Linked DNA regions of Oreochromis niloticus. The protein of the gene in region 3 interacts with the protein of the main gene of each other region in a pairwise test. Links are inferred from orthologs where the notes say so. Each region holds a gene or a part of one and is shown on either strand. Other genes may lie near its edges.

Region 1 (10,604 bases), on a different chromosome or scaffold from region 3:
TGAAAAAAATGGACACAAGAAAACAGTATTTATTTAGCAATGATCTCACAGGCTGCTTTTCTCAGATCAAATTAAGATTTGTACTACATTTCCGACTCTGTGAAACAGTCAGACTCACGGGATCTCCTACATGTTTCACCCAGGTACTGAAACGTTGGTGAAATGCGTCGCCATCTCCATTTTCACTCGGTAATGTTCTGAAATGATTTCAAACCTGGACAAACTTCTCTGCACACATGCAGCTGATGGCGGATTTGGAAACGACACATTTCAGAGGCCCGACAGCCTGAAGTGAAACTGATTCACCATCACGGGTGTCGTTGTTGTTCGGGGTTCTTGTTTGAGTTGACCCCGACTGTTAGAACCACAATATTGACCGTTGTGTGGAGGATTATGTGAGTTTAGTTAGTGAGTGATTATGAGATTATGTGAGTTAGTCTATAGGACTGACGGATAATCCTGTGTTTAAGACAACACAAACATCCAGAGTAGGTCGCTTGTTGGATGCTTCAGATGTTTTGAGTTTTAGCGTCACTGTTTTTTGCATTGCTGGAGCCACAGGACTCATACAGACGTGCCCTCGTGCATTCGACCGGTAAAGTGTGAACAAAGACATCCACCCTTCTTTTTTCTTCTTCTTCTTCTTTTTTTCTTTTTTAAGGAAACCTTTACTGTGCCTTTTGACGTGTGCGCATGTGAATGTTTAACATGAAACACAACAAGCCACTTCCACCATCATGTCTGTATGCAGCAGCTGCACGGCCAGCTGCATGTGCATCGGGACCAAATAATGTCCCCTTTTTTTCCCTATTTATTGGAACAAAAAGGGAATGCTAAAATGAATTAGAGGAGATGTTCACGGTACTGTTATATGTGAAATTATGTGTATTGAAGCAACCATGTGAAAATAAATTACAGTCTGTCAACAGTACGTTTGTGTAGTTTGATTTCATGTTGTTTTCCCAAACCTGACTGCACTTACTCCCCAGCAATACACCCACCATATGATGAACTGCTGTAGATGTATGTGGAGAAAAGGAAGACTTACAGAGATTACTTGATTTTTATTTATTTACATATTAGTGCAGGGGGACGGTATTGGCCTGGCAAAGACTCCAATCGGGCCTGCAGGACAGCTTTGGAAAATGTGAAGGAGAGTGTACATTTTTGGACCTTTTTTAACTGTAATTTTTATACATTTTACATCTTTTTCTACTGATAGGCCTCTCCCAAAGCCATTTATACTACAACTAAGTAATCAATTAACAATTAAATAAGAAAAAGTTCCTGTTGTTTAAGATATCACAGGGATTAAATGTGTAGTTAAGTACCTTTACATTGACAGAAAGTGGAGTTTCAGTCGTCACTTGGTTGTATATGGCCTTTGTTGTAAAATGAGTTTGACATTTCTTGAAGGCTGAAAGCTGCAGAGATGTTTCCTCAGCTGCTGTTTTCTTCAGTCAAGAACAAACTTTAAATGTCAGTTTTTCAGACACTGGTCCTCAGCAATCCCAGAAAAATGTAAAAATGAACATCCCCCTTCCATGTTCAGCAGTTATTAAAAATGTAAATAACATATGAAGACAGAGGTTAGAAAATAAAACCTTTATTAGAACAAAACAGTGTAAAAATGAGTTTGTCTTGATTTAAGACTCCGAGGCAAAAGTGGTGGCTGTCAACAAGAAAAAGTTGACGAGCCCATAAAGAAGACAGACTTTTAAAGTGCCACACGTCCGATTTATAAACGGTCAGTCACAGGATCACTGAAGTCTTAATATAAATTAAATGTTAATATTTAGCCTTGCTGTGATATCTCTCCTTTGTCATTTTAACTGTTGAAGGTGACTTTGTTTACTTTGGCATGTAGTTATAAAATTACTTTAGTGTCACATAATCAGTAATCTTCTACAGCTGTTACATATTAATGGAGAATTACTTAAGAAATTAGCTTTATTATTTAAACTTGTCCTCACTGTTTAAAAAAAGAAGACAAGAAGGAAATAAAGAAGGCAGCAGTTCTCTGTTGGATACAATTAATAAATGTCCAGCGTTTATCAAAATAAAGATTTGGGATTCTGTTTTTTGTGTAACTAACTCACTAAAATGCAAATCAAAGCTTACTTTCAGGACACTTTTGCAAACGGCTGCTTTTAGCATCTCTCTGTTTTTGGCTCTCTGCAGACTCGGGGTCAGATTTCACGCCTCACTTCCTGCCTAACAAACAGGCTTCACTCACAGACAGCGATGATCACAGACACTCACTGCACGGCTCATCACGTGCCACCTGTTCCCCGTTTCTCAGGGGTCTTCACCTCCATTCACAGCTATAGAGAATCCACATCGAGTCTGTGTCTCTTCAGCAGCCACTGTTGCGCCGCATGAAGGCGTGGCCCCTCACGGGGTAGAACATCTCTGTGAAGTTAAGGGGCCCCACTGTTATGTTGCTGGGGCCCAGCACTTTAAAGCCTGACTTCTGGTAGAAGGGGACCAGAAAGTCCTCACACATGAGCACGGCGCGGCGGACGTAGGGCAGGCAGCGGAGGTACTGCAGGTAACGCCACATCAGGATGGAGCCTTTTCCCTGCTGGCGGAAGGTCCGGTGGACGGCCAGGACGTGGATGTGAACGGTGGTCCCGTGAGGCTTGTGGAGCGTAAGGGCGTCCTGGAGAGGAAGAGGAGAGCTGTCAGAAGAAGTAAAACATCCTGCTGGGTACCCACAGAAATATTTAAAGCTTAAAAGACCCCCAAAAGCCATCTTTAATAATTAAAGCTAAATGAAGTGCTCAAGTTTAAATGACTGTGGTTTCATTAAAAATAATTTGATATTGGAGTTAAAATGACTTCAGCAGGATTCATCATCATAACTTTTAGTTAAAAGAATGAAAAGTAAATATGAGAATTAAAAGATGGTGAATAAACTCTTGAATGATAATGATGATTGTATTTGGGATTAAAAGCTGCAGTTTGTTATTTCAAAAACTAAAATATTTTGAAAATATATCAGCTACATGTTGACTCCAGCCTGCAGTCCTCGAATATTAAATGTTTATAGCAAACACAGAGTCTTTCATTCTTGGTTGGATTCACATAACTGTGTCATCAAGAAGAAATTTAAGATTGATTTTTTTTTTTTTTAATTGTTTCTACTTTGTGGAAACTTAAAACTCGTACAGCTGTAGCCTTAAAAGAAATTGTCAGGCAGCTTCCATGATTATTGTTGTTCTCTCTTCGGCTGGCAAAAAACTCATCTGTCGGCAAGATTTATCACCATCCACTGAATTTTATGCACTTGAAGCGCCTCTTAATCTGTGTTGAATCTTTGCTCGACTCTCAACCGGAGATAAATCACTGTCCAGGTGTCTTCCGCTCCGTCTTACCGTGGTAAGCCTCTCCTGGTCCCACAGTGAGCCGATGATAAAAGCCACCAGCCGTCCCTCCTCGAACCAGCCAAGAGACAGCTCAGGACACAGAGTGAGGAAGTGACGCACCTCGTCCAGGTGGAGAGGACACTCACCGGAGACAGAGATGAAAGCTGTGTGAGGAGGAGGAGGAGGAAGAAGATAAGGGTCACGGTTGCCACAATCAGACAGTTGTACTAGTTGTGCAGGATGTTAAAGCTGAGCGTGATGTTCCCAAATGTACTGACTGCCAAGCACAAGGAAAGTGTACAGGACAGTTAACTGAAGAGAATCTACCCGTGAATAACATCAGTGATGGCTCAGGTTTGTAGAGAGCTTTCTATTCAGTAGGAGAACATAAATAAAATCTGTGTTATTAGCTGAGAATCTCTCCCCGCAGTTTTCTTAAAAGACGCTTCGCGTGCGTAAATCTGCATAAATACGCGAGTCCTCTGAAGAAATTCAGGCAGTTATTTAAAAGCGCCATTGCTCTGTAACGTAAGTTCAAAGAGTCTGCTTACCTTCTCTTTCAATCTCGAACACACTGATGGCATCTTCCGGGCTGAGGGAGCGGAACTCGCTGGCCGGCAGCGTGTGGCGGCGGCCCTGAGGCACCGGAGAGCGCATGTGGAGAGGCTTCAGGAAAGGCACTGCGCTCACCACAGACATAGTCTTGATTATTCCCAGAAAGTTTCACAGGAAAGCTAAGAGTGCTGCGCTGACAATTTCTAGTCTGACTTCGTGTCAGTCTCTTTTTTAACAACGAGATGAATTGTCTGGGTGTCCGTGATCCGTGCGTAACGGTACCGTGAGAGCTGGCGCAGACTGAACGGAGAGTGGAGCGCTTCCAGTATTTATACCGTTTGTAATCCTGAAGTGAGCTGTATGGATAAACCCTTTACTCCCCGTGAGTAAACTGAACCATAAACATATTTACAGGCGGGATAAGCGTCATGCCTCCATCAGACCAACCGATTTGGATTTGCTGAGTTCCCAACACCAACAAAATGATTTTCTGGCTGGTTAATCATCAGAACGTCAGTGATGATTAATGCTGTCACACTGAGGAGATTGCGTGTTTCTTAACTGGGCCATCTTAACGGCTCGACTTACCATTCTTCATGTTATTTCTCTGAAGGAGACTTTTGTCTATCCATAGCCCCTTTAAGCAGAGTTCACGATTTTTCCATGGGTTATTTTTCCAGTTCTGTAAGAGGATTAGGCTACAGGATGTGTAGGAGGTTGTTTGTCACCTGGTGGGGGTTTAAGTAAGCTCCCTGAAGAATTTATCCTCTCCAAACAAACTTTTACCCTCACGAGATGAAATCATAAAATAATTTACTGCATTTTCTCACGTTTAGAGGGCATTTCCCATCAAATTAATGCAAACTGACACCAAGAGCAGGACATACAATGCTTAACAAATATGTTAGAACACCACCTAAATGTAAGGTTTATGCCACAGTTACACTAAATTAACAATACTGATGATTAGCAAAATCACTTTTATGTTTGTCTAATAGTAAATTCATCAGTGTGCTTATTTAATGCTAAAACATAATTATTGTTGTCATCCTTGAATTTACAAAAAAAAGCTTTTTATTAAGATAACAAATCAAACCTATTTATTTACAGTGCTGAACAGAAAAATTAGTTTCAGTGGTTGACTTTTGTGCTCATGTTTATATGTCAGGTGATGTAATAAACGTAATGGGGACACCTCCTTTTGTGACACTACACAGCTCTATCCCCACATTCTTCCTAAAAGACAAATTTTACATGTTGTTGTCTGCAAAACTGCAACTGTGCTGAAGATGTTGAGACAGTTGCGACAGTGCTGTTCAGCAAAGTAAATATAAAGAATCTGTTATCTGTGTTTTCTCCTGTGTGTTTAGATATGAGACGGTTTCAAATATTGTTAATGCCGTGTTTTTTTTCTGCACTCCCTAAAGGTTTCATCAGTTGTTTTAAATAGAAGTCTTACAAGAACCTGTGGGACAGTGGTATGGTGGTCATCACTGTTGCCTCACATCAAGAAGGTCCTGGGTTGAATCCAGACTCTGCAGGGTGTTTTTTCCCCCTGTGTTTTTGTAGCAACTTTTTGGATACAATGTCTTTGTCACAAAGACATGCCTGGGTTGGGTTATTCGGTGGCTGTAGGTGTGAATGGTTGTCTTTCTCTACATGTGAATCTTGTGATAAACTACTGACCTGTTCAAAGTATTCCCTGCCTCTCACTCTGTCTGAGATAGGTAACCCTGAATCAGATAAGTAGAAGAGGATGGATGTGTTGAAGAAAGTGTCACCTTTTAATCTCCAGAATATTTCCTGCTTTTCAGTCTTTGCAAATTTATAGACCTGTTCCTTTAAAAACAGATTAAACTGTCATGTATTCTATCTCCTGTAACACTAATGGGCTTTACTTTGTAAATGTCTTTGAGAACTTGGAAACTGAGAAGATTATCATAACCCCCCCCCCCAAAAAAAACAAATCAAAAACAAAACAGATTTATCCTTAAAGCAAGCAACTGATGTTTAATTATGAGGCACTGAAAGTTAATAAACTCAGGTTACTTCAGATGTATTTGGGGTGGAAAGACGTTAAATAATAAATTAAAGGAAAACTTTCTTTTATTGTTAACTGAGCTGCATGTTTATTTGTATAGTGTTCACTGTGCAACAATATTAAATAATTTAGGTAAGATCCACATAGGATCATGGATCTCATTTACACACACACACACACACACACACACACATAGAGAGAGAGATGTCTTTTTTTAACTATCGTGACTTAAAAAAATATAATTAAAAAGGAAACATAACTAAATATAATGAAATTTATAACAATAAATATTAGAAATTTACATCAGAAAACGAAATGTAACCATTAAAATATTGGCGTAAAATAAAAATGTACGCAGTTAGAGTAAGTTAGAGAGTCTCTCCCATCACCTGATTATAAATCATACTTTACGTACAGCCTGCGGTCTTTCTCGGTGGCTCCTGTTTCTGGCTCTCGGCACCCCTCAGTGGTGACAGCGGGTACTGCGTGATGACGCTGCCACACTGCGCTTCTTACGTAGCCTGCGTAGCTACGTAAACACGTGCGCTTCGCTGCTTCCAGGTTACAGTTTTTTTTATTCCACCGTCATCCTCGCGCTCCAGCATCACTCCCTGACAACAGCGGCGATGGCGGAGCCCGTAGCATCGGATGCAGCGACCAAGACAGACGCAGCAGCAGCGGCATCATCACCCACACCGGGCCTCTCTCCCGTAGCCAGCCCGGGCTCTGAGCCTCTTTCCATGGCTCTCTCCCCCACCGCGGACGGCTCACAGCGGCTTCTCTTCTCCCACGACCTGGTCTCCGGACGATATCGCGGCTCAGTCCGGTTTGGCCTCGTACGGATGATCCACGGCGAGGAGGATTTTAACTCGGACTCGGACCTCGACGATGGCGGAGGGAGAGGCGGAGACGGCGGCGGCGGTGGAGGAGGAGGCGGACGAGTACCGTGCGGTTCGGACACTGAGAGCGCCGTGGACACCCCAAGTCGGCCTCTCGGGAGGGGATTTGTCCGCGTCCAGTGGTACCCCGAAGGTGCAAAGCAGGACATCAGGGAGACAAAGGTACCACACAGCTGCTAACGTGCTCACTGTTTACCCCGGCAGTCGGTGGTTATCTCAGCCTGACGTCAGGACTGCTTTGTTTCACCTGCCTGTTGTGGTTTTTCGGAGAGGGGGTGATCGGTGGACTTGTTACCCAAGCAGTGATCAGCTTCACCTGATCCATCCGACTAAAACCTGCAGCCTAGCTCGCTAATTGGCTAGCATTCAAGCACACACGCTAGCTAGCAGTTTAGCTCGTAGCCTCATGTATCTCAGCTGGTCCCGACAGGCTGAGCAGGGTTGATCCACCTGACTGCAGCCAGCTCGCTGCTAGTACACCACACACACACACACACACACACACACACACACACACCACTGACCGGACAGGTAGGGGCTTGCACAGGTCCTGTCAGGTGCACCTCCCTGCTTAGACACCTTACACCTATTGATTAGCTCATCCTTGACTCAGTGTAGATCCATAGCTGGGTGTGACCTGGCCTGAGACCAAGCTTTGTGTGTGATAGAAGATCTCTTATTATTATATAAATATACACATCTGAGTTAAGTCTGTTCCCAAGCACCGTGGTCAGACCAGGAGAACGAGGCTCTAATCGTTGCCTTGTCCTCTCTATCAGCTGCAGATGTCTTCCAGCTCAATCACAATTAATGAATTAGTTGAACAGCAGGGATTTAATTGGAATTTTTTAAATGTTTTTAGAGCATTTTTTTTCATTTACTTTTCATTGTGTTTATTATCTAACTTCATTAGTTTAGAACATTGAAACCAAAATGGTGCTGCTTCTTTTGCATCATTGTGAGCATATTTTTGCATCTTTCTTGGCTGCTGGTCAGATATTTTAATATAATTAAATTTTGATAGTGCAGATGTGCTGCACTGAGAGTTTATAGTCTATGGCTGATCATTTCTAATGCTCCTCTGTAGCAGGGTTTTACATATCTAACACACTACTTACTTCCACCCAATTATCTGCTCGATCTACCTCCATGCCTTGAGGTTCTGTAGTGTCCTTTTAGTCATTTGAAACCAAATCTTGTTGATTACTGTGCTTTGTATTTTCTCTGTTGCTTCAAATGTCGGGAACGTTACCAAAGAAGATTTGAATTCTTTTTTTGCACAAGTTCTTTCACTATTTATTGATTGCTAAAACAGTTCTCTTTTAGGCTTCGGTCACACAGACCTAAGACCGGTTGGAGAGTGGTTGCTGGAGGTTGCTGTCTGTTGCAAACTGTATGCTGCACCAATAACCTCCTTGTGGTTGCTGCAGCCGCCCGTAGTTTCCATGGAAGGTGTCAACATGCCCGTATTTGCCAACAAACCATTGAGCGCTAGTGAAATTTGCGCCGCTCACCTTTAATGTAAGAGTTGTACCTTACTGCTGAAACCACCGTGTTTCAAAAGGCATAACTCTTTACTTTGAAGGCAAACATTAGCTATTTCCACACAAGTGTTGCACTCTTCAGTTTCACAGCCACTTGGCTAATAAAGAAGTCAGTGTCTTCTCTGCAAACGACGAGTGACCACAGCAATCACAAAGAGCTTTTTAGTGCAGCACCCTGTCTGGGCATCAGTGCCTGGAGATTCGGTTAATTCATAGTTTCAGATCATCTTTAAGGACATTAAACCTAGTGTAAGTTATATTTTTTAATTTTTAATCAATTACATCACTCCTGATGATACAGGACTTTTTTTTTTTTCTTCGTTGGTGGTGGTTGGACATGATGAACCTGTATGTTAAAAAAAAAAAAATCAGCTGACATTGTTGATCAGTAGTTTGTTCATACTGCCAGTATGATCAACACTGGGGCGATTATGTGGAGTGCAACCAATATGAATCAATACCTTTTAACTGAGATATCAAGGTGATTGATTAAAATTCTGAAGGCTATTGAGTCTGAACTTAGAAGGTATGAAATATAGATTTAGACACCTGGACGCCATTCATTTGTTTTGAAGTTTAAAGTCTGCATTTTTAAAGTAGACAGCAAATATTTGCAAACCTCTGGTGATTTCTCTGAGTGGTAGCAGTCAGTCCAAATCAGACTGCAACTGCTTGCAGAAAGATTGCCACCCATCAGGTAGGATGAGCCCCCGGTTTGTAATATTCCCAAAGTATTTGTATTTAATGTATTTATTTAATGAAATATTGATATTTGGCATCCCGTATCGAAACAATATAACTGTGCAAAAATACACTGACACTATGCTGTATTGATTTTGTTTTTTCTTTTTTCCTTTTTCTCACTCATAATAATTAACACAGAGTACCACACGAAAGCATGAATGCTGGTAACAGTGCCAGCCTCGTATGTAGACACTTAGATTTTAAGCTTTACAAAAATTGACCAGAGAAATCTAAATGAGCCGTAACACTTTGACTGTCTGGTGCAGTCAGCTTCTGCCTGTATTTGTCTAAGTGGCCACGCCCTGAACTCCAGTATCCTTTCTTCTTCTTCTTCTTCTTCTTTCGGCTGCTCCCTTTAAGGGTCACCACATCTGCATCCATCTCACTCTATCCCTCGCATCCTCTTCTGTCACATCAGCCCCCTGCATGTCCTCCTTCACTACATCCATGAACCTTCTCAACATCCTTTGTCATATATATTCACTATCCCTCCTCTGCACATGGTCCAACCATCTCTGCCCTGCCTCTCTAACTTTTTCTCCAAAACCGTAACCAGAGCTGTCCCTCTGATAGCCTTATTTCTTCTGAGCATCTTCAACTCTGCCACTTCCAGGCTGTCTTCCTTTTTTTTCTCCTCCAAACCATATATCATACAGGTCTCACAGTCATCTTCGAAACCTTCCCTTTTGCTTTAGCCACTATTCTTCTGTCACAAATCACCTGTGACACTCGTCTCCACCCACTCCACCCTGCCTACATGCTCTTCTTCACCTCACTGTCCTTACTTCTGCTATTCAAATGGATGAATTACAAAAAATTCAGAGGTTAAAACCATTTTTCTTCTGGGCAGTTAACATGCTTTTTAATGCTGTAAATTCGAACATTTTAACATGGAAGTCTGTAGTGACTGGATTTTGGAGCAGCCTCGAGGAAAAGCAGTGTGGAGCGCTTCAGCATCAGACCTTGAATTCAGCCGAATCTGGACAGTACATATGTGATGTTGGCACAGAAAGTCGCTAACCTCTATCGGTGTAAACTACACTCTCAGCGTTTTAAAACCTCTTGTCAGTTTCAGTTCAGTTAGACATGTAAATTGTTGCGTACATCTTTGTGCAGTTTTACCATTTTACCACCAGATAATGAGGACATTTTAGCTGGTGCAGACTTTGCAAACCTGTTGTTCTGTGCATCCTCTAAGCTTCTCTGGGGTTCTCCTGGGCTTTGTGGAAAAGGGTCACGGAGTTTAAAGGAGGACAGGCCTGGAACAAGCTCACACAGACTCATTTCAGAGACAGGATGTGACCAGAAGAAGCCTATTTTAGGGCCCAACGCTGCCTTGCTTTGTCTTTCCAGTTAAATGAGAAAAGTTCTGGTCTGAGTGTCATTCAGACCTCAGTCAGAACAAAGGCAGAACGACGCGCCCCTTAAACAATGACGCCGATGTTTACGCAGC
Region 2 (10,680 bases), about 8.8 Mb from region 3:
GAAAATACAGTTAAAAGTCTAAAATGCATTCTGTGCTTCATATTTTTCAAAGCCATCAAGTGGGCTAGATTGGAGTCTTTCACGGACTGATTCTGGCCCCCAGGCCTTATGCTGCGACACCCCTAATCTAGAAGAAGCAAAAACTAAAAACTTTTTGATGCTTCTGAAAAAGAAAAACAACAGAACTTCGTTTCCAGGTCTGTTCAAAACATATATTGTTGAAATATGATAACTGCTATGTAAACATGAGCTGTGGGTATATGAAGTATAGTGATGCTTCAAGTCTGCCACAATAAATACTCCTATGTTGCATCTTTAACCACAGATCAATAAAAGCACTGACAAACTCTGGGGTCAGGTTCTTGTTAAATGACCCTTGGAACATGGACAGAAAGGGTTGGGATCAAATAACTAGCTCCTCCTGTTCTTACAGTAATATATATGTGTGTGTGTGTGTGTGTATCAGTTAAACATCCAAACAGAAACATGTTTTAAAATAAATACTAAAGTCACTTGATGATTAAACAAAAACTATAGAGGATTTAGCACAGAGTTATAAATATTTAATCAATATTACACAACACTCAAGGTGACAAGCTCGAGTTCCATGTGTGATTTGAAGATGCGACTGAACTTTAACAGCCTCCATAAACAAATGAGAGTTTATTTAGTCTGACAGAAATTATTCGTTCATGATGTGCAAAGCACCGTTTAACAGTGTGAGGCCTTACTTGGAGAATGTGCGAGACACTTTCTCAGAGTGGCAGTAGACCGTATGAAAAAGCCAGGAGAAGCTGAGGCAAAGCACAGCACCCAGGAAGAACATCCCAAACACAACCTTCTCTTGCAGCGGAGCCATAAAATACATGTTGGGCCGCAGCATGGTTAATGTGCCCAGACACAGGAATAAGATCAGCCCTGAGAAAGACAAAACAGGCTAGAAATATGCAGAATGACCCAGATGAAAATATTTTTGACCATAATGAAAATTTTTATCTGCTCCTAATCAGTCTGTAATGCTCACCTAACAGGTGAGTCCAGATGTTTCCTGTTTCAGTGTGAATTCTGAAAATGCTTCCAAAACAGGCCCGGAAGGATGGCATGGGTGGTCGATGTCCATGCAGGAGGTAATCGTTGTCCTTCAGCCACTCTGGCAGGACATGAAAAGGGATTACTCTCCAGCGCCCCTCCCAAACCTGAAAAACAAGAATAACTTTTGCTCACAGAGGCATAAATTCTGAGTTTATTGTGAGGGTCTTCAAATAAAACACACAGAAAAATGAAAAACAATACAGGAGTTATATTCAGCATGTTAAAGATTGTGTATGAATAAAAAAAAAAAATGATATGGAAACATGTCTGAGAGTTTGAAGCAAAATCAAACAAACCAATAATATTTAAAGAAAAAAAAAAAAAGAAGTATTCCATAAATGTGTCTTACAGAACTGTGACCTAGATATGAAAGACATTTTTCAGTACAAAAAAGAAGTGCTCATCATTGCTCTTGTGTGGACTACTTACTTAATGAACACAGAGTCTTGTGATTTATTAAGAACACTGACATATTCTTAATAGGCCAATTCATTAGCCTTTTTCCCTCAACGAGTTCTGTTTAAGCATTAAAAGACTTTTTGGGGGTTTTTTTTGTTTTTTTTTACCTTATGTACAAACTCCTCCATCTTCTCCATGGCATGGTGAGCCTGTAGTGGTAAGGTCAGAACCTCACCCACCTCATCATCCTCCTCTTCCTCATCAGCAAGCATTGCGGCTCCCTTTAAAGAGGTTACGACACTACTGAAGTTACAGAGAAATAACAGCTTCTTTCTTTGTTGCTTATTCTGAAACAGTCCTCCTACCTCAGGATGGACACTTTTGGATACTGCCTGCCGCGCCCCTCCCTCTTCCAGCAATGGCCCCAGCTCCATCAGCTCAACATCTGGGACCTGGCAGTCCTCAGAGATCCGGCAGTCTGCATCACTGGCAGACCCGTTTCGGCCTGACATAGGGAGACTGCCTGATGATCCACTCACAGTCGATGTATTCTGCTTCAGATGGTATACTTGAATTTCCTCCTGGGGGGCACCAGAATTGCAATCAGCTTTACAATCTAAGTATGTCAACACCTTCCTGTAGTCTGACTCCAGTTCTCTTCAGTCCTCGAAACACTCAGTGATTAAAACTACACAACTAAAGACTGCAACAAAAGTAATAAACTAATAAAAGAAGAGTAAAAACAACCACAATTAAAAAACGAATATCTGTGATAAGACCAATATTACGTTATCTACAGACAAAAATGCCTCACAATGCAAATAAGCTAGAATTAATTATGAGATGATAACTGGAGGCAAGAGGCCAACAGTGTTACTGGCTGATATCTCTGTTGTATAGGATAAAAGACTCATTTCGAAGCACCCAGAGCACAACCTGAAGACATAAAAATGAACTGCTTTGTCCACGACTTGAATTTGGAATATTTAAAAGAACTAAACAAAGCAAATCAGGATATTTTGTGTTTTTTATTTAGAACCTGACAAGTATGTCCACTAATATGGAGCTCTAGACCAGGGATGTCACCTAAAACCTGGTCTGAAAGGGGATCAGCTTTAAGTAACTGAGAAGGCAGAGCCTGTCAGTGAGGAGAAAAGAGGTGACCGACTTTAACCTACCTACCTACATATTTAAATAAGCAGATTTGAATGTAACAGGTTAAGTTTACATTTATCAAATGAATGGTATATCCTATGAACGCTGATGCTGATGTTAAACACTTTTCTTTTTTTTTTTGTGCCTGTGGTAAAATAAAGCCATCAGTCCAATTTGCTTCAGTTGGCCTCATTTGTAAGTGAAGTTTCTGTTTCCATGTTACTGTGTCACTATTAGTAAGCTGCTATATTATATTACTATAAAACATTTAGTATAAATAGTCTGCATTGGCTTGCTTCAGGTTTATCTAACTGAGAATAAGCCTTTGTAGAAAAACAAAGAGAACAAGGAACGCAATCTGTCTGTGTTGCCTTGTTTTTTGATTAAAGCTAAACATTTTCCTGTTATTTCTGCACTTCTGATAAACAAAATGTCCACTGTGCTTCAGGAAATGAACCCCGCTTAACAAAACTGGTTAGAAATAATCACTTTATTACAGATAAATGCTGCTGATTTTCTACATTCACTCTAAATGAAACCTCTTAAGAGGTTTTCAATAACTCGTCTTTGCCATAAACCCATCTACTTGTAATTTCATAGGGCTTCAGCAGCTCAATAATTAGCACTCACAGTGCAATTAATACGTCTAGTACTTCTAAAAAAATGGACATTAATGTGAGCTTCGCATGAAACGCCTGTGTTACTGACCGAAAAATAACAAGGAAACAAAAGAAGTGGCTAAACTTGTTGTTAGCTGTACGTCTCCAGACAAGTACAGCACGACGGCAATTCTTATTTCAGACAGGATAACGATTTATGATGTAACCCTAGTACTGACAGCACACATAACACATTTAACCATTTTACTGTTTAGCCCAGGCTCCCAGACGGATGTTGATTAACGTTAGCACAGCATCAGACGGAACAGGGAGCACAAAATGTAAACAACACCAAGATACAGAGGATTTGATACAAATTCTCAGTATCAGTACGCTTTCTTACACTTTTTAAGGAGTAAAGCATTGATTGTTACCTTCTCCGACAACGCTTATAATGAGCTGGTCTGAGGTGCTATAATATCAGGTTGCTAACGTTTCCTTTAAGCTAGCGCCGAGCTGTCGCTGAAGAGGGGACAATTTTCAGAGAATTAACTTAATAATAAAAGTATTTACGAATTCATCAGTCTGAAGTATTATCTAGAAGCTTTACTGTCCCAAGATCCTTTATGACAAGTTCATTTAAAGCAGAAAAGTTACCTGGCAGGGTAGCCTTCAAACCAGGAAGGTGAATTATTTACCGACGAGAAACACAATTCTTTCCGGAAGTTGAAATCTCTTTTGTAAGCCGAATCCAGTTCTCCTTTCAAAATAAAAGCACCCATTCGACTGTCGAGAACAAGTCAGACGTCTTCACGAGGTCAGAAAAGGTTTTTAATAATTAATTTTAGTCAGTGCAATTCCAAAATGACTTACACAATGTAAAAATATTGTTTTTAAATGTAAATGTTTACAAATGTAAAACAGACAATAGTGCAGCCCCTACCCCGTTACACAATAACTGGTAGGACTGATATGGTACATAATTTGCGTAGTGTTGGAATCTTTGCACTCGTGTAAATAACCAAAATAAGTCCTGACTGCTGATGTGGTCTGCTGCCCTAACAGTCAAGAAAATGTTTTTATATGCTCCTGTTGTTGCATATAGCTCTGCATAAATCAAATTTTATCCCACGTCGTCCGTTGACAGTCACCAAACGTAATTTTGTCGCATCTTTTTAAAATTACAAATAAATAATCTTAATCTTAAATGTAAATGATATAAAAATTAATTTACTATCGTGCATAACTATTACACTTTCGTTTCTTCTAATTAGCTTTTGTTTTGACTTTAGCCATTTATTCGTTTCAGCAATAATTTAACTCGTTTCAATTATTCCAGTTTGGAAGGATTTTATTATTGTTTGTACAACACTTTTTGAAGTGTTGTGTCAAGCCGCTAAATATAAGGAAATTTCTGTATAATTTATGTGTACAATATTGTTCAGTATCTATTTTTATTTCAATTAACCAAAATAGTTTTTTTTCACACGCTTGTCTTTAATTTTGTTTTTATAGTTCTAACTATATCAACCTTGCTATAATCCCTTTCGAATGACTCAGAGGTACAGTGCCTCTATCTGTAAATGTCAAAATGTAATTTCAAATATATTTTAACACAGACAGTGCTTGTGTTTAAAATGCATTATGGTGTGTGGTACATCAAAACTAAGATTAACGAAGACCAACAAAGCACACGCTAAGAAAAAAAAATTATACCTGTGCCTTCCTGTGCTACCCCCCAGCCTCCTATAGATGCAGCTATTGTATTAATGTGAAACTTCATATAACTTTCTTCTTGAGTTATCATGTTCATGAGATTTTCAGAAAACTTGACCTCTGACCTTTAAGTCAAGATCACCAATAGTTAAACCCCTCCACGATTTTCAGTTATTGCATCTATAGTAACAATTTAAAAATCCTATTTTTTCTCGTTTTCCAGTTATTATGTTCACAAATGTGGGTGTCCACGCCACCTGATAATAACCCATCAGCCTTTTATGACTAAGGGGGTTAAAAGTAGACTTGTGCAGTTTTCTGGAAACACTAAGACTATACATGGTAATATTTTTTTTCTTTACACTTTGTGCATCTCAGATATAAAACAGTGGCTAACCTGCTGTTATGGGTAATGTCTCAAATATTAATGCAAACATTTTCTATTTACAGTTTATCAAAGTGGGTTTCTCCCTTCAATGTTAATAGTAATTAATGTTAATAGCATTAATAGTAATTCACTGGCATTCAGATCAATGCTTAACCTGTAAATATTAAAGTGGCCAAAAAACAAAGAAAAACAAAAACACTTCACTCACATTTCTGAGGATGTCTTTAATCATAAATGACTAAGTAGTGTGTTTCTTCATCTCACACCGTTTTCTTTATTTGTGAAGTTTATATAAAAATTTTAGCATCAGCACATTTACTCTAAATGTAAAACCATCCCCAAAACACTTAACTTCATAATTAATATTTTGTCAGTCCTCTTGTTATTTCTCTGTCATATTTAGTATGAGCGTATGCCATCCTTGCTCTTTCAAAGGTAGATTGCACAAAAGGCAGTGATAGTCCAAGTCACATGATCGGTTGTGTCTGAGGATGACCAGACAGTGTGATAGTGAGCCAGCATCTTAAAAATGAATAATTCAAGCAACGATATGGCCATAATTGCGTACATTTACATCAATTTTTTTCCCTACCTTGATATGTCAAAATGTCTTCAGGAAATATTTGTATTACAAAGGTCCCGTTGTAACGGGACCTTCGGGGTGGCTGTAGCTCAGGAGGTAGAGCAGGTCACCTACTGATCGGAAGGTTGGAGGTTCGATCCCAGGCTCCTCCAGTCTGCATGCCAAGTGTCCTTGGGCAAGATACTAACCCCAAGTTGCTCTCCGATGCATCCATCGGAGTATGAATGTGTGTGAGTCTAGTTAGAAAGCACTCAGTATAGAGGTAGTGCTTGCGAGAATGGGTGTGACTGGGTGAATGTGGTGTGTTGTATAGAGCGCTTTGAGAACTCCGGGAGAGTAGAAAAGCGCTATATAAGAATCAGTCCATTTACAATATAAGCTAATTAAACTCAACAATAATATTTATTCATCTCCACAGGGAAAACACTTTCACAGGTTTTTTTTAAAAACAGCAACATAACACAATAAATCCACTTAAACTACAGTAAATGATAAATAAAAAAGACAGTAAAAAAAAGAGACACAAAGGGTAACATGATTGTGGTCTGTTTTTCTTTTTGTAAACTAGACACCTGTTTTGTTTTGCAAACTCTGGTCCACATTTTATTTAATTTCAAGTCTGACTTTTCACGGGTCCAGTGGTGCAAATCACAATAAATTAAGATAAATAGATTACTGTGAGAGACCAGTCAGTGTGTATCTGTAGCTGAATTCGCTCTACATGACTCTGATTCTCAAATATCTATTATTTGAAGTTTGTTTGGTTGAGAGTGGTGGGCTTGGAGTGTTTGTGTCTACCTCAGTGTCAAACTATTACTGCTGCTAACAGAAAGGTTAGTGAACTGCTCTCTCAGACGCAGGTAAAGGCACAGATGAAGTTCAAAACATTACAATTTGACACGCTAATAGCTGCCAAGCCTCAAGCCTCTGCTCAGTTTGCCACCATCCCACATGAATGAGTTAGTGTCTAGTTTCAACTAGCTGTTTAAATCTGTTAGTTCAAGTTAAATGTTTCTGTAGCTGTGCCAGTTAAGTATAACATTGAGACAAATTTGCCTCCGTAAGTATGTGATAAAGAGATCAAACCTGGGATCTTGAATTAAAGCAGCACAAGTTCATTAAAACTGTGACTTAATTAATCTCAGGTAACATGATAAAAAAACAACCCAAACACACACTTATAAAGGGTGTGTTGCTAATTTGCATTATTTTAGCAGTAGACTCCTTTCCTTCATACAGGTAGGATGAAAACGAGTATATTAGTTTTCCAACTAGCAAACAGCAGAAACTTAGCTTCTCTGTCTGGGGGTACATTTCTCAAAATGATTAATTATTTGGTTTGTTTTAAGCTAGAGATAACCACATCTATGTTACATTAAGGCCGTGCTAACACATATATTTTCTTGTTTTAAAACACATTTTAATACATTTATACATCATGTCCACATTACTGCATTTAAGGCACCATAAAGCATTATTTTTTAACCCTGTTTAATTCTGCATGTTATAGATGCAGGACGCACATCTATTGTGTTTTAAAACAAAAACATGTTAGTGTGGATCTAAAGTACCTAAGGTAGTTCAATATCAATCTGGCGTTATCAATTCATCCCAGATTCATTTCTAATACAACTTTACATCTGACTACATTATGCACATTTTGGTAGCTGATTCTTCGTAGGAACTCATGTCATCTCTTCCTCCAGTTTTCATTTTGTTTGATTGCTTCAGATGTGAAGGAATGATAAGAAACCTGCAAGGTTTAATCAATGGATTGACCTAAATTTAGCTGGCTGCTTCATTAATAGTAATTCACTGGCATTCAGATCAATGCTTAACCTATAAATATTAAAATGGCCAAAAAACAAAGAAAATCAAACAAACACTGCAATCACATTTCTGAGGATGTCTGATTTATGGTAACCTGGAGACTATAGTTAGTGCTGTGCCATGTAACATTGTTTTGTAAGACGCTCCAATTTTTCACTCCAGGATAACAAAAGCTTTCATGAGAAGTCCTGATAGAGATAAAAAAAATGCTCTACATCAATTTTCTATCTCACTTTGGTATAATGGGAAAATATGCTGCCTTTACATTAACAGAGTTAAGTTTGGCATCCAAGTTTCTTCTCTTTATACTTGGCTGTAAAAGTGAGAGGCGTCCTCTCCAAACCAGTGGCCTTGAGCACCCTCTGCAGCTCTGTGGAGAGTCCCTCTTTGAATAACCTGGAAATGATCAACAGAAAGAAAAGATGAACATGTGGAGACGTACGTACAGCAGTAAAAAGCAGAGTATTCTCCCTGTCGCAGCAACACAAAGTAATTGTTCACTTTCACTTCAAACAGCTGCCAGCATTTAAAAACGGAGACAGGTGTACAGTGTTACTGTGTCAGATCATCACAATGCAAACATTTTGTCTGTATCATATCAGCATTTATGTATTGTTCAATTTCTCACCTACTTATGACTCTATTAAAGAAAGCAGAATGAAATGCTTTGAAAAAAACGAATAAGCTTAGCTCATTTACCTGCTCATGGTACTGCTGAGTTTGGTAGCAGGGCGACTCTCCGACAAACACGTTTTTCATCCGCATTGCTCCCTGTCTGTCAAGGGAACGAGACCTGGGTGCTCTTTGCTGACTGCGTCTGTGCCACGACTTTAGCTGTTCGTTCACTACTTGTCGTGGGAGACCATTCATGTGGCATTGTGGATGGTCCCAATTTGCTGGCGGGGTGATTCTAATATCAGGAGCAAAAGGCCTCTGTACTCTCTGGTGAGGTACTGCAGTGTCTTTATACCTATTATCATATCTATTCGAGGAACAAGGAGCTTGCTGGGGGAAATAGCTTCGTGGCATATCCATCTCATTGTAGACCCGTTCTTCATTGTAATAGGCTTTTGGAATACCAGGACTGGGCTGCTGCCGGGGATTACGGTAAAAGCCAGCATGTGGGAAAGCTTGAGGTCCATAGCTGCCAACTGGGCAGGGGAGCAGGAATGCAGATGGAAATTGTTTGGGCAAATCACCGGGCAATTCCCGACACGGGGAGCTATTGTAAGAAGGAAACGAGTTTTCAGAGTTGCTGTCGTCAGAGCTAGCATGGCTTCTGTAGTTCAGTGTAGGGGATGGAGTCTCTGGTAAAGTTATTGAGTATTCGGTCAGCCGCCTCCTTGGGCCTCGGGGCCGACCGCGCTCCTTTTCAAATGCAGAGTCAGGAGAGGACAGCCTGTGCAAACCACAATAATTATAACAAACACAATAACAAAGCTACTTTGCAAAGAAACTGCATGAGGCTTAAATAACTTTAACTATATTTTTAAATAATCCATTCAGTAAAGGAGCACCACACAGGGTGCAATTTCAACATGCAGATATGTGTGAGGTATAGCTACCTGAGGGAGAGCTGTCTGTGCACTCGCATCTCTGGGGTGGAGGGTGTACTGTTTGACTGGGTGCGACTCAGCTTTAGATGGGAAAGTTGAACAGGCAGAGCCGACTGTGCTAAACAAGCATCCAAAGGTGGCAAAGACTCAGGTTTGGCTGGGCTGCTGAACACACAACATAGGAGAGTAATTAATATAACAATATTTCTTATGAATGTTTAATGTGGGTACTACATGAAGGGTGGACAGTGTGGACATATACGCACACACACTTTGACAAATGCATTTTGACATATCAAACATTGAGTGATTTAATACTGTGGCAAACAGCAATTGTTCCTTTTAGAAATGAAAACAAATAGAAGAATACACATTATCAGAGGCAGGAGTTTCTATATATACATTTGTATAGAGTTACAGTTCTCAGTTGGCTCTGCACACTGACTACTGTTCTATTTAATTCAGAGCAATAATGGTTGTAGTGAAAAAAAGGTTACTTTTTAAAAATGGCTTCTCTAAAGTAGATGAAGATGACCTGTTTTGAAGTAAAGGAATTTCTTACACTGTTAACGTGTTAATTAACAGTTTCCTTTTAGATTTTAGAAGTGAAAGGATCTTTTTTTGTTGTTCTTTAAACCTCATTTGGTCGTTGGGTTCTTTGGAAAAAATCTAACTGGATTCCTTCCAAAGAATCCAACGTTCGTTTACATAACATCACAAATCATAGTTTGTGTTTCCAATTCCAATCCTCACAACTTGATAAACAGGAAAGGAGTTATAATGGATAGCCTGGGTTACCTCATCTTGATGGACGAGCGCGACTTCTTGCTCTTCTGGTAGGGCTGGTCAAGACTTGACTCAGTCCACGGGGAGTGCTCGATGGGAGGAAGGTCATACGCTGGGCTCGAGGTAAAGCTCAAGTCAACGCTTGGATGGGGAGAGTGACTCAGGTTCAGCTGCAGGGACTGTGGAGTCACACATGGAGAAAGGTAGGCGCCATCCACGCAAGACTGCGTGGACAGAGGGAGCAGCTGGGGAGGATCTGTCTCTGCTGGATAAGGGAGTCCTGAAGAAGGCTGTGAAGACTGACTTATGACTTCTAGGAAAAAAACAGAACAACCCCCCCCACAAATGATATGTATGGTAAAGAATTTTGCATGGATAACATTTACTGTCACCACAGACTCTCTACCTTTGAGAATGGCAGTATTTAGGAAACATTTGAATTCTCGTGAAGTTTCTGTGGTTAACTAGTCATCTGATAAACTCTGTGAGGGTTTTAAACTAGAAAAAAGAAAGAAAGAAAGAAAGCGCTTTCAAAGAAATAAGCAAGAACCTTACCTTCATCTTGGACAACAGAAT
Region 3 (10,698 bases):
CCACAGATGTATAAAATCAAACACCTAGCCATACAGTCTGTCTTTACAAACATTTGTGAAAGAATGGGTCATTCTAAAGAGCTTACTGCATTTGAGCATACCAGTTTAATAGGAGCCACCTTGGCAGCAAGTCAGTTTATGAAATATTGTAATGTAATATTCTATTACCAGCTGTAAGTGGTATTATTACAAACAGGAAGTGTTTAGAACCACAGCAAATTCGTCACAAAGTGGCAGACCGCATCAAGTTACAGAGCGAGGTCGGCATGTGCTAAAAGGTAAAGCACGTAAAAGTCCCCATCACTCTGCAGAGATCCAAAACTCATCTGTTATTAACATCAGCACAAACCCTATCTGCCAGAGGCTTCATGGGAAGGGCTTTCATGACTGGAGGTGCAATGCAAGCGTAATGTGTAGGCGATAAAGTGCACTGACTGTAGTTTATGAGGTACAGCTTACCACCACTGGCTATTTGGAAGACTTCTTTAAGTGTAAGGATCTCTGGGGAGACAAAAAAAACTCACATTAGAGAGTAAAGTGCATCTGTTTATGTAGCAAGGGCTGCTGCTTCAAATTTATTCTACTACCATAAATATTAAATATGTATATTAAAAGTAAACAACTAACATAGCAATGCACAAAATAATTTAAATTATGTGTCACTGTTGATGGCAAAATAAAATTTGTAAACTGAAAATTGACATTATGCATTATTAACGTCTCTAAAGCAGTTTCAAAACTGGGTGAAAGATCTTAAAGTGTTTTCTACCCTTCAGGTCTCGCTCTTTAAACTGAGTAATGGGGAACATCATGGCATCAGCAAGCTGGGTGGACAAGACAGCATGACAGGAGCTGAGCTAGAAAGAGGAAGAGAAGGGGGAAGTTAAAATCCTAACCATGAATCAGATCAACAAATACAAATATAACACTAGTTTTTCTTATTCTTTTTATTTTGCACCAAATTTGCCTGTTTGGGACATCAAAACATGCAAACCTAACTCACTTCATCGATGACTTTTGCAAACTGTTGCAGGGTAGAACTCATCACCTCATCATCACCCCCGAGAGGAAAACGCTGCAAACAACAGCGACAATAAGGAAACATTACACAGCTGAGATTAACACACAGATTTCTGGATGTTATTAAAATCGCTGATATTTTCTATTATGGTAAAGAAAAAATCTGAATAATGCTGATCCAAAGCTGTTTCTAGAAGACAGGAATGGCCAGACTAAATTTGACAGAGGTGTGGTAAAGGCAGATGTGTGTGAAGTAACAGATAAGAGCAGAAGGCTCGTTGTTACAGGATTACAGTTAGGGTGATAAGTTTAATGGATGGTGTTACAAGGCTGACATTTAGTATTTTATTGCCCTTTTTTAAGGGTCTATTGGTATAACAAAGATAGGCTGTTATAACAGTGAGGCTATTATTATACTGTGTGGCCTGTGGCTTGTGTGATAAGACTGGGAAGCTACACCAAGCAGTGCCAAAACCTGCAGTTCTCCCAACTGACCACATAAAGCTGGCTCCAAAAATGTTTTTCAGAACAGTGACTTCGAAAAAGGCGGAGCATTCTTAGGGAAATTGGGGTAGCTTAAAAGAAATTTTAAAAGTGAAACTACGGCAGAATTAAGAAAACTTTTAGAAAACTCAACTCAAGAGACGAGATTCTGAGACCGCCCAAGTGGAAGCCTTCCGCCACTTGCCTACAACCTAGAAATTCTGTCCATAAAAATTATGAACAGAATCAGTGACAAAGGGCAGCCCTGGCAGAGTCCAACGCCCACCAGGAAGGAGTCTGACTTATTGCTGGCTATGCGGACCAAGCTCTTGCAACGGTTGTATAAGGATCGAATGGCCCGCAGCAGTGGGCCAGACAGCTTCTGGAGTATTTTGAATTGCATGAATCCTCCTTAGTTTCCAAAAATCAGTCAAATATTGAGGCACCACTGGGAGCTAAAAACAGTCCAAATTCTTTCAACTCCCAAACGATTCTCCAGAGAAGTGACTCTAATTATTGTCTAATGCTGATTTTTATCCTTATTACCATTTATCTTCTATGCTTTGTATGGTGAGTTTGGGTTTTAAAAAGGCGCTCACAAATAAAATGTATTATTATAAAATAGGATTGATGAAGTTTAGCCAAGTTAGAAGTTAATAGTGAGGTATCTCAGCCAAGTCAAACTTCCCCCAAGGGAATGTGTGAAACAATCCATGCACAACACAAAGTTAGTCATTTATATTTTGCCGGCTGGCTATGAAAAAGTCCTGATCCTAAGCTTAATGTCCACACTGAGATCTCAGTTGGTTCAAGGGTGATTCATTTGTGAAGCTTTCAGATATTTAGTGTCCAGCACTTCTTTGTAATAATAATAAAAATAATAAAATAATCTAGTGTTTGAGTGTGTAGACTTGTGCTGCGGTTGGGGCAAATATGGTGTTTCCTACCTGTTTGTCGTATTCTTTCAGCAGTCTGGAGGTCAGGTGTGTTGCAGCACTCAGCTCATTCTGGAAGACAAATCAGCAGCACTAAGAGCTGGACACACACTATCCAACAGCAGCACATTATTGATTTTGTGTTTATGTGAGTGAGTGAGTGTATGTGTGTGTACATGTGTACCTGTGCATCATAAATCCTCTGCATGGCCTGATACAGTTGTGTGCAGTAGTTGGAGATGGCTGCAGTGTCCTCCTCAAAAACTCCCAGCAGAGACCGTGTCTGCAAACAAAAACCATCAAAAACAAACAAACAAACATCATGCAGCTGATTTAACTACATGATCTGTTTTTGAAACCACACTCAGCTTACTTGCTCCCGATTATTTCCTATGCAAGTGCCAAAAACTTCACCCGGATCCATTTCTGCAAATCAAACACCTGCACCCACTACTGCTGCTCTCAAGGTGTGTCTTAACATCCTGCTGGTCCCTGTCATTTTCAAGGCATTAGTCACTGTGAGAAATAAATCACACTCTCAGGCTGTTTTCCTGAAAGCTGAATGGTTGCAACATGTTGTGTGATTATCCTGAATGTATTTCACCCTGCTGTAAATCAGATTTTACTGCTGCGGTAACCTGGTTTCTCTCCAGCTCCCACTGTTAAATTACAAATATAACAGAGCAGACGCCTAATGTACACCGAGAGAGTTAATAAGAGACTGGAGTGGATGAAGCATAAATCATTAGTTATATAGACTAAAAGATTTTGCAAAGACTGCAGAGTCATACCAGCAAATCTGAAAAGTTCCCACCCAAACCTGATAGAGTCAGCTGATTTTTTTCTACTCTATAACTTTAACATATCATGCAAAACTTTATCTTTGTATTATGAATATGTCTGAGTTTCAGTCCATCAGAGTACAGGCATTCGTCAAAATTAGTTTCCCTTATTTTAATGCTCTTAGAATTTCTTAGAAACATGAGATAGCCACATTACATTTTCAGGGTTGAAAGAACAGTTATGCAAATTCTTTTGGCTCTTGCAAATGATTTCTGTGCTTGACAGCAGCAAGAATTTCCCTGTGCTTTGAGAGCCGATACCCAGATTATCCTGACTATTAACGTAAGTAAATCCTGGGTATGTGCAGCTTCAAACCAGGTAAGTTTATACACTTTGACCACACCTCAATCCGTGATGTCACAGCAGGTGTTATTCCTAAGATTTTCAGGAAACAACATCATTGCTCGAGTTGTTTTTCTGTCCATCTGCAGCAGTGCAGTTGAAGCTTTGGGCACGGTGTGACACCAACAGAAACACAACACTGGTGTTTGACCAGATAACCATCACTGGGCAAGAGGGAGGAATGATTAGCGAAGTGGCTACGGAAGTTGCAGGTTAACCGTTGATTTATGTGCTAACCAGCACCAAATCTGACATTTCAGGATCTGACAGCTTGGCGAAAGCTTCCACCACCTGATCCATAAAGCAGTCAGTTTATGATCCCACTGCATAGCTGAAGTATCCAGCTTGAGAAGCTGTGATTAGCTGTGCCGTTAGCGATTAGCATCATTCCGATGGATGTTGGCAAACAGTCTACAAAGACAGTTAGCCTAGCTATAGACGTGGCTAGCATTAGCTTTTAGCTAAAGCCCTCGGGGAGTAGAGCTGTTACCTGCGGGCTGTCCTCCAGCGTCTCCTCTATCGGTAGCTTCTCTATCCCGGGCATAGCTGCTGCAGGCGTGTCGATGATCTCTGAGAAACGCAAGACAAACACACAACAAATCGGTCCGACAACTCCCACTCAGGATTTCTGGGCTACACGGATTCACAACACCCCAAAACAGCTCCTCCCGGTTCCACATGCCACGCCCTCTACGGGGTTTTGGATTGGATAGAAGAAAATGAAGCCAATGTGATTGGCTTATTTTTTTAAAGGAATATTCACCATTTTGGCTCTAACCGTCAGTTCAGCGATAGAGGGATAGCGCGTACACGTCAGAGCCGTAATGGCGACTACTTCGGCGAGTTTCCTGTTGAGATATTTTTTAATCTTATTCAGAAATTTACTGACGCCACATTGTGTACAATATTTTAAAACGCGTTTTTTACGGATAGTATTTTTGTAACAGATATTTAAATTTTGAAATGTTCAACTTTCCAAAATTATTACCACAAACCATATACACTGAAAAAAGAACCAACTTAATTGAATTATTTCAATTGGTAACACCTAATTTAATTAAGTTCTTTGAAATGAAGTTAATACATTAGAGTAACACAACTGATTTATCTAATGTATTAACTTCATTTCAAAGAACTTAATTAAATTAGGTGTTACCAATTGAAATAATTCAATTAAGTTGGTTCACCTATTTTCTTTTTTCAGTGTAAAATGACCATGTTTACAAATATAATTGTTTGTTGAGAAATGATGATGATGATGATGAGCTGAATAATAACTCTTCTTCTTTTAGCGGCTCCTTTTAGGGGTTGCCACTGTGAATCATCTGCCTCCATCTCATCCTATCCTGGGCATCTTCAACCTTCTGCAGGTCCTCCATAACTGCATCCATGAATCTTCTCTGTGCTCCTCCTTTCCTCCAGCCTGGCAGCTCTGTATTCAACATCCTTTGTCCAATATATCAACTGTCCCTCCGCTGCACATATCAAAACTTTCTCAGCCTTGCATCTCTAACTTTGTTTCCAAAACACTCTGAGTTGTCCCTCTCATACAATATTCATTCCTAACCATGTCCATCCTGTTCACTCCCAATGAAAATCTTAACACCTGCAGGTCCTCCTCCTGTTTCTTTTGTCAGTGCCACCATCTCCAAACCGTACTTCATGGCAGGTCTGATTACATTCAAACCATTCACTCTTGCTGCTATCCTTCTGCCACAAATCACCCCAGACTCTTGTCTCCACCTACTCCATGCCTGTCTTCTTCACCTCTCTTGTGCAGTCTCCGTACTTTGGACAGTTGATCCCAGATATTTAGACTTCTCCAGCTTACCTCTGGTCCTTGTAGCCTCACTGTTACACCTTTCTCCCTCTCATTCATACTCGTACTTGTTTCTGCCTATACTTTAATTTTCACACCTCCACTGCTCCAGGCTTTCTCCCAACTTCTCCATACTCTCACAATGACATCTGCAAACCTTATAGTCCAGGGAGACTCCTGACTACATCTTCTGTTGACCACTGTGATCACCATTGCAAACATCAGTGGCCTCAGAGCTAGATATCACTCTATCCCAGCAGTCTCACTAATCCTCTACACTTCCCGATCCACTAACTTTCATCCAACACATCCTCTCCTCCCTCTCGTTTTCTTCATTTATCAGGTCCTCAGAGTACTCCTTCCATCTTCTCAACACACTCTCTTCACTTGTTAGTACATTTCCATTCTATTCTTGATTAATCTTTTCCAGCTTGATTTCACTGCCTAGCCAATCAATACAAGTTATTTCTCCTTCCTCAGTGTCCAGCCTAAGATATCACTTACTATAAACCTTTAGAGTAGGGGTGTCACCACCAGGGGTCCGCTTGCGGCCCACGTCACCCCTATTTGCGGCCCATGTATTGAAGTGAAGAAATATAAAGCAATTTGGCCCTTGAAGTAACTTTTTTGTTAGGGAGGATTTGTTTTAGTGTTGAGTGCAATGTTAAAATAAGTTATTTAGAAAGCAAATAATTATTTAATATAAAGGCAATATGAGCAGAGAGTACAAACATGTTGAGGGATTGGTTGTGTTAGTTCAGTGAGAGAGTTAAACAATTTTAACTAGCAGTCAAAAACTAATTTGTACACTTATTTCTGCATTTTTATTTTGTTATATACAAACAAAATTATAGCAAGGAGGAAAGAGAGTAACAATTTGTTTATTTGGTAGTTCAATGAATGGCTTCAGTTAAGTGTGAGAAAAAAAAATTTTTGCTCATGTTTGCATTTTTGTCTTGTTATACAATATTTTCTTGTTTGTTTCTTTTGTACTAAAGTGGCGCTCCAATGAGATGACAGTGCCAGCATTGGCCCACAGCTCATTTAAGTTTGAGACCCCTGCTTTAGAGGTAGAGGTGCATTTGCTATGTTTCTTTGTGCTGTATAACCAGCCTCCCAGTAGTCCTGTCTACTTTCTTCAGCTCCCTCACTATCCCACTTTCTCTTTATATATACTGTATGTATACTTATCCATGATATTAATATTAATATTAATATTAATATAAATCTGACCAAAATCATACTATAATACAATACACATAAAACATACAAATATATAGATAAAGTAATAATAATGCAAAAAACTTTTATTATTAATTAATTAAAATGCTACTATGATAACAGGCAAGCTGAAGTCAGAAGGTTCCACCTTCCTCATCCACATTAGGCAGCATTAGGGGATCACGAGGGAACAAATTCTCCGCCAAGCTGTAGAATCCATGTAGCACGCAGCAGCTCAGGCCACTGCGGGACTCCGCAATGTCCGAGGTACTGTACCACCAACCGGCCTCCCCATCGTAGCGCTCCACAGAATACATACAGTGATAGCCACCATATCCTCCGACCACAAAGAGCTGGTCATTCACAACTTCAATTCCAAAGTGGCTGCGGGGGTAATGCATAGATGGCAGGAGGCGCCATCTGTTGGTGATAGGGTTGTAGGCCTCAACAATACGCAGTGGGGTGTACCCATTAATGGTGCCACCAACCTGGGAGTGGGAGAGTGGGATGAGTTCATAGGAGAAAGAAGTACCACTGAATAAAAAAAACTATGAAATACAACTCTTTTGGACATGTTTTCCTCACTGCAATGCTGCGACTGGCCACTAGGAAAAATTTGTTAGTAAGTCTGAATGACTGCTCTGTATTCATGTTCTAACCTTCAGCACTTTAAGGGACCTAACCCCAGTGACCAGAGTCTAAATGAAGCTCCTGAGAAAGGAACATGAAGTAAAGGAAGAAGAAGACATGCAACAGACAACAAAGCACCAGGATAGTTTTTAGATCTGACAACTACCGTGGGGAGACTGTGGATGATTTATGTCATGCAATCTATGCCCTACAATGCTAAAGTCAAATTCATGGTGGTATGTTTCTTTCAGCTTGTGTAGGTGTTTGGCCCTGCACAGTGCATGATTTTATGTATGCAATCTACATTAACTAAGCAATGAACTGGGAGCTGCGCCAAGGCTCAGTTTAAGAGAAATAACAATTATTTTAAACTGTGAAGCTTGCAAAGTTACTCTAGAGTACAAGAAAATTACTGTGGTACACTTACTGCATATATCTGGTTTTTGTAAGCAATAACCCCCAGGCCTCTTCGCCTGCACATCATGGGAGCAATTGTGGTCCACAGGTTGGTGTCTGGATTGTAGCATTCAGCTGTAGGGAGGCTATAAGTTTGATAGAAACCCCCACAGATATAAACCTGTAGTAAGGATTAAGAGAAATTAAGAGCAAATTATTATTCATGAAGCGCTAGCCCCTCCCACGGTGTAGTGGCAACACAGTTGTAGTTAAGACATTTGCTTGGCAAGTGAAAGGTTGCTGGTTTCATTCCAGCAGACACAAATTCCCTTTGAAGTTGTGACAGAAAGGGTATCAAGTGTAAAACTGCAAAATCAAACCTGTGGAGCTATTTGTAGTAAAAGGAAGCAGCTGAAAGGGAAAGTAGCTAATTATCCATGAAGAGCTAATCAGAGTTTGGTAGGCAGGTTCAGGAATAAAGATATATTATCTAATAGCGGAAAAAGAAATGGCAACAATTACTGCATTTTTACAGGACATACAGGGAGAGGTTAAAAATTCAAAGAAAAAATGGAAAACAGTGTAAGGGTATCTGTTATCTCTTTAATGGTGGCTTTGTTTGGGTCCACCTTGGAGACAAGTGTCAAATCAATAGAATGGTGCTCTAAATGAAAGAAAAACCTCTATTCTGATAGGAGTGGTTGTTTCTAGGATGATATTACACCATTCACTGAGCCTGAAAAGTCATTAAATTGTTCCTATAGTCTGGCTTAAAGAAACATGTTGTCAGGCTGAACAATGAAGTGAAAACAACATAGTTTGGTCACTGCTTTCAGTCATGTCTCCTTGCAAGTACCTTTCCATGCAGAACTGTGGCACTGGCTGCAGCTCGCTGTGCATTCATTCTTGCCACGATGGTCCACTGGTCAGTCTCAGGCTTGTAGCACTCAACACTGCTCAGGGATATTTCTCCGTTGAAGCCTCCCATGGCATAAATGCATCCATTCAGCACAACAACGCTGACATAGCACCGGGCATTGTACATGGGTGTCACAAGTTGCCATGTAGAGCTGCTGAGATCAAGTCTTTGCACAGTTTTCAAGTTAGTTTCATGGTTGCAGCCACCAATTAAGTAGACAAAGCCATCCAGGGTAACGGCTCCATGGTGAGCACGATGAATGTCACAGCCCACAGTGGCCCAGCTGTTGGTTCGGTAATCATATGCCTCATAGCTGCATCGTGCAGTGGAGCGATTTTTGCCTCCAGTGACCAATAAGATGGAAGAAGGCAGACGTGGCCGGCTCAGCAAGCTACTGTAAATGAATTGTGGACGTCTGTTGAGACCACAAGCTTGAAACACCTCCACGACTTCATTGATAATGGACATGCATTCAGCATTGTTCTTTATCATGGCATTGTTCATGACGCTGTTTTGGAAGTATTCTGAGGTCATCAACGTGAGCCGTACCTGGACAAATAAAGAATGAGGGTTTAAGGCAAAGGTGTCAGGCTAATTTTTAATTAAGTCACATGCAGCCTAATGTGATCTCATAATGGCCTCAATGAAAAAAAGTCACTCCTCTAAATTTTTTCTTGCTTTAAGTGTAAAAAAATACAAGTGCGTTGTGGAAACACTGATTTTCACACAAAATGATCCAACTTCTGACTAAACTGATTGTAATTCAAATTAAACCACTAGTGGGGAGCAATTTAACATATGTGTTGATATGTTTTCAGATATAATATTCTGCTGTTATAACATTTGACATTTCTTTTTAACCGTAACCCCATTTTATACATACAAAACACCTGTTTTGAAGTAAAAACTTTTGAGTTGGACCCTCTGACGGGCCAATTATGGTGCCTGGACTACATGTTTGCCACCCCTGGGTGTTAGTATACATGTTACGATACATGTTTTATTAAGCTGACTACAGCTACAGTTGATTTGTGGTTAAGTTACCTTGGGCAGCAGCACAGAGATACTTCCTTGTCTTTGGTCAGGCATATGGTCAATCCACAAGAGGATGACTTCAAATGCTGTGTTTTCACATTTCACATTGAGGTGATCGTTCTCAAGTACAACGGCTAGCTGCTGCTCAGAGAGATCAAGCAGCTCCTCTGGGGTACCGATGATTTCTTCAAAGTGATGCAGGATGTAGAAGAAGGCCCTTTTCCTCAGTTCAGGGCAGTAGTAGAAGTCCACCAACTTCCAGATGCCAATGCAGTTCTCCGGAGACAGCTGGTCCTCCAGATAGGAGCAGCAGGCCCGAATTATCCCCGGGACCAAGAACTGGTCTGCAGCTGCTAAAATGGGCACCACATTATCCTCTGTCAGAGGAACAGATTTGGTGTAGGCGTAATTGATGATGACGTCCATCATCTCAGATGACACGCCAGGGATGGTGTACATCCGCTTCTCCGGAGTGGCCCAGGCTCCAGTGAAGAGAGTGCTGTGGGATTTAGAGGACATCAGGTTTTCAGGAAGTATATGTAGCACATAAACTACTGCTGGATCAAACAGGAAGTTGTTAATTTGGCATGAATAAGAGGTTATTTACAGTAAAATTTATCTAGAGCTCAAACCCAACAATCTTCAGTGCACATTCATTCACTAATAATATGACCATATCCAGAGAAGGGGACTGGGTGACAATGCCCCCCCTAAAATAATCCCATACCAATGCCATTGGACTAATGGACACAATTTTATAATATTAGTTTAGTACTAGATTATGCTTTAATATTAAAAACTAAAGCTTACATTTAAGTAAATAACATTTTCTCCAGCTGAAATATTAAAGTAATGTACACATTAATGAATTAGTAACTGCAATCTAATATAATGTCTTGATGCATGCATCATCCAAGTAAGGAAATCCCAAAAAAGTTGATTCTGTTCATCTGGACGTAACGTTTTCAGTGGGAGAAACATTTCATCACTCATCCAAGCGATTTCTTCAGTGTAATAATAAAATGTTTATGTTTGTGCAATATGAGAACCTTCAC

Evidence for each region.
Region 1: the proteins of appl1 (region 3) and ube2o interact in binary tests that used the Homo sapiens proteins (3 or more experiments, as listed by UniProt). The two-hybrid records come from large-scale screens. The link is inferred for Oreochromis niloticus from reciprocal best matches to the Homo sapiens genes APPL1 and UBE2O.
Region 2: the proteins of appl1 (region 3) and adipor1a interact in binary tests that used the Homo sapiens proteins (3 or more experiments, as listed by UniProt). The link is inferred for Oreochromis niloticus from reciprocal best matches to the Homo sapiens genes APPL1 and ADIPOR1.

The regions. Positions count from the first base shown.
Region 1 is NC_031971.2:27,312,522-27,323,125, reverse strand, and holds the start of ube2o (ubiquitin-conjugating enzyme E2O), read left to right. Parts: upstream 1-6,552; 5' UTR 6,553-6,590; coding exon 6,591-7,025; intron 7,026-10,604. Other genes in the region: aanat1 (serotonin N-acetyltransferase), read right to left, coding at 2,357-2,662, 3,378-3,532, 3,920-4,067. UniProt on the Homo sapiens protein: E2/E3 hybrid ubiquitin-protein ligase that displays both E2 and E3 ligase activities and mediates monoubiquitination of target proteins. Negatively regulates TRAF6-mediated NF-kappa-B activation independently of its E2 activity.
Region 2 is NC_031970.2:24,622,583-24,633,262, reverse strand, and holds the start of adipor1a (adiponectin receptor protein 1a), read right to left. Parts: upstream 4,033-10,680; 5' UTR 3,903-4,032; intron 3,833-3,902; exon of another isoform or gene 3,680-3,832; intron 2,073-3,679; 5' UTR 2,004-2,072; coding exon 1,857-2,003; exon of another isoform or gene 1,848-1,856; intron 1,773-1,847; coding exon 1,659-1,772; intron 1,197-1,658; coding exon 1,025-1,196; intron 919-1,024; coding exon 732-918; intron 1-731. Other genes in the region: inavab (innate immunity activator b), read right to left, coding at 8,066-8,158, 8,462-9,161, 9,328-9,483, 10,117-10,417, 10,660-10,680. UniProt on the Homo sapiens protein: Receptor for ADIPOQ, an essential hormone secreted by adipocytes that regulates glucose and lipid metabolism. Required for normal glucose and fat homeostasis and for maintaining a normal body weight.
Region 3 is NC_031970.2:15,828,384-15,839,081, forward strand, and holds the start of appl1 (DCC-interacting protein 13-alpha), read right to left. Parts: upstream 4,316-10,698; 5' UTR 4,168-4,315; coding exon 4,114-4,167; intron 2,722-4,113; coding exon 2,623-2,721; intron 2,511-2,622; coding exon 2,451-2,510; intron 1,076-2,450; coding exon 1,004-1,075; intron 858-1,003; coding exon 770-857; intron 502-769; coding exon 460-501; intron 1-459. Other genes in the region: kelch-like protein 10, read right to left, coding at 6,798-7,151, 7,721-7,870, 8,546-9,157, 9,653-10,142. UniProt on the Homo sapiens protein: Multifunctional adapter protein that binds to various membrane receptors, nuclear factors and signaling proteins to regulate many processes, such as cell proliferation, immune response, endosomal trafficking and cell metabolism.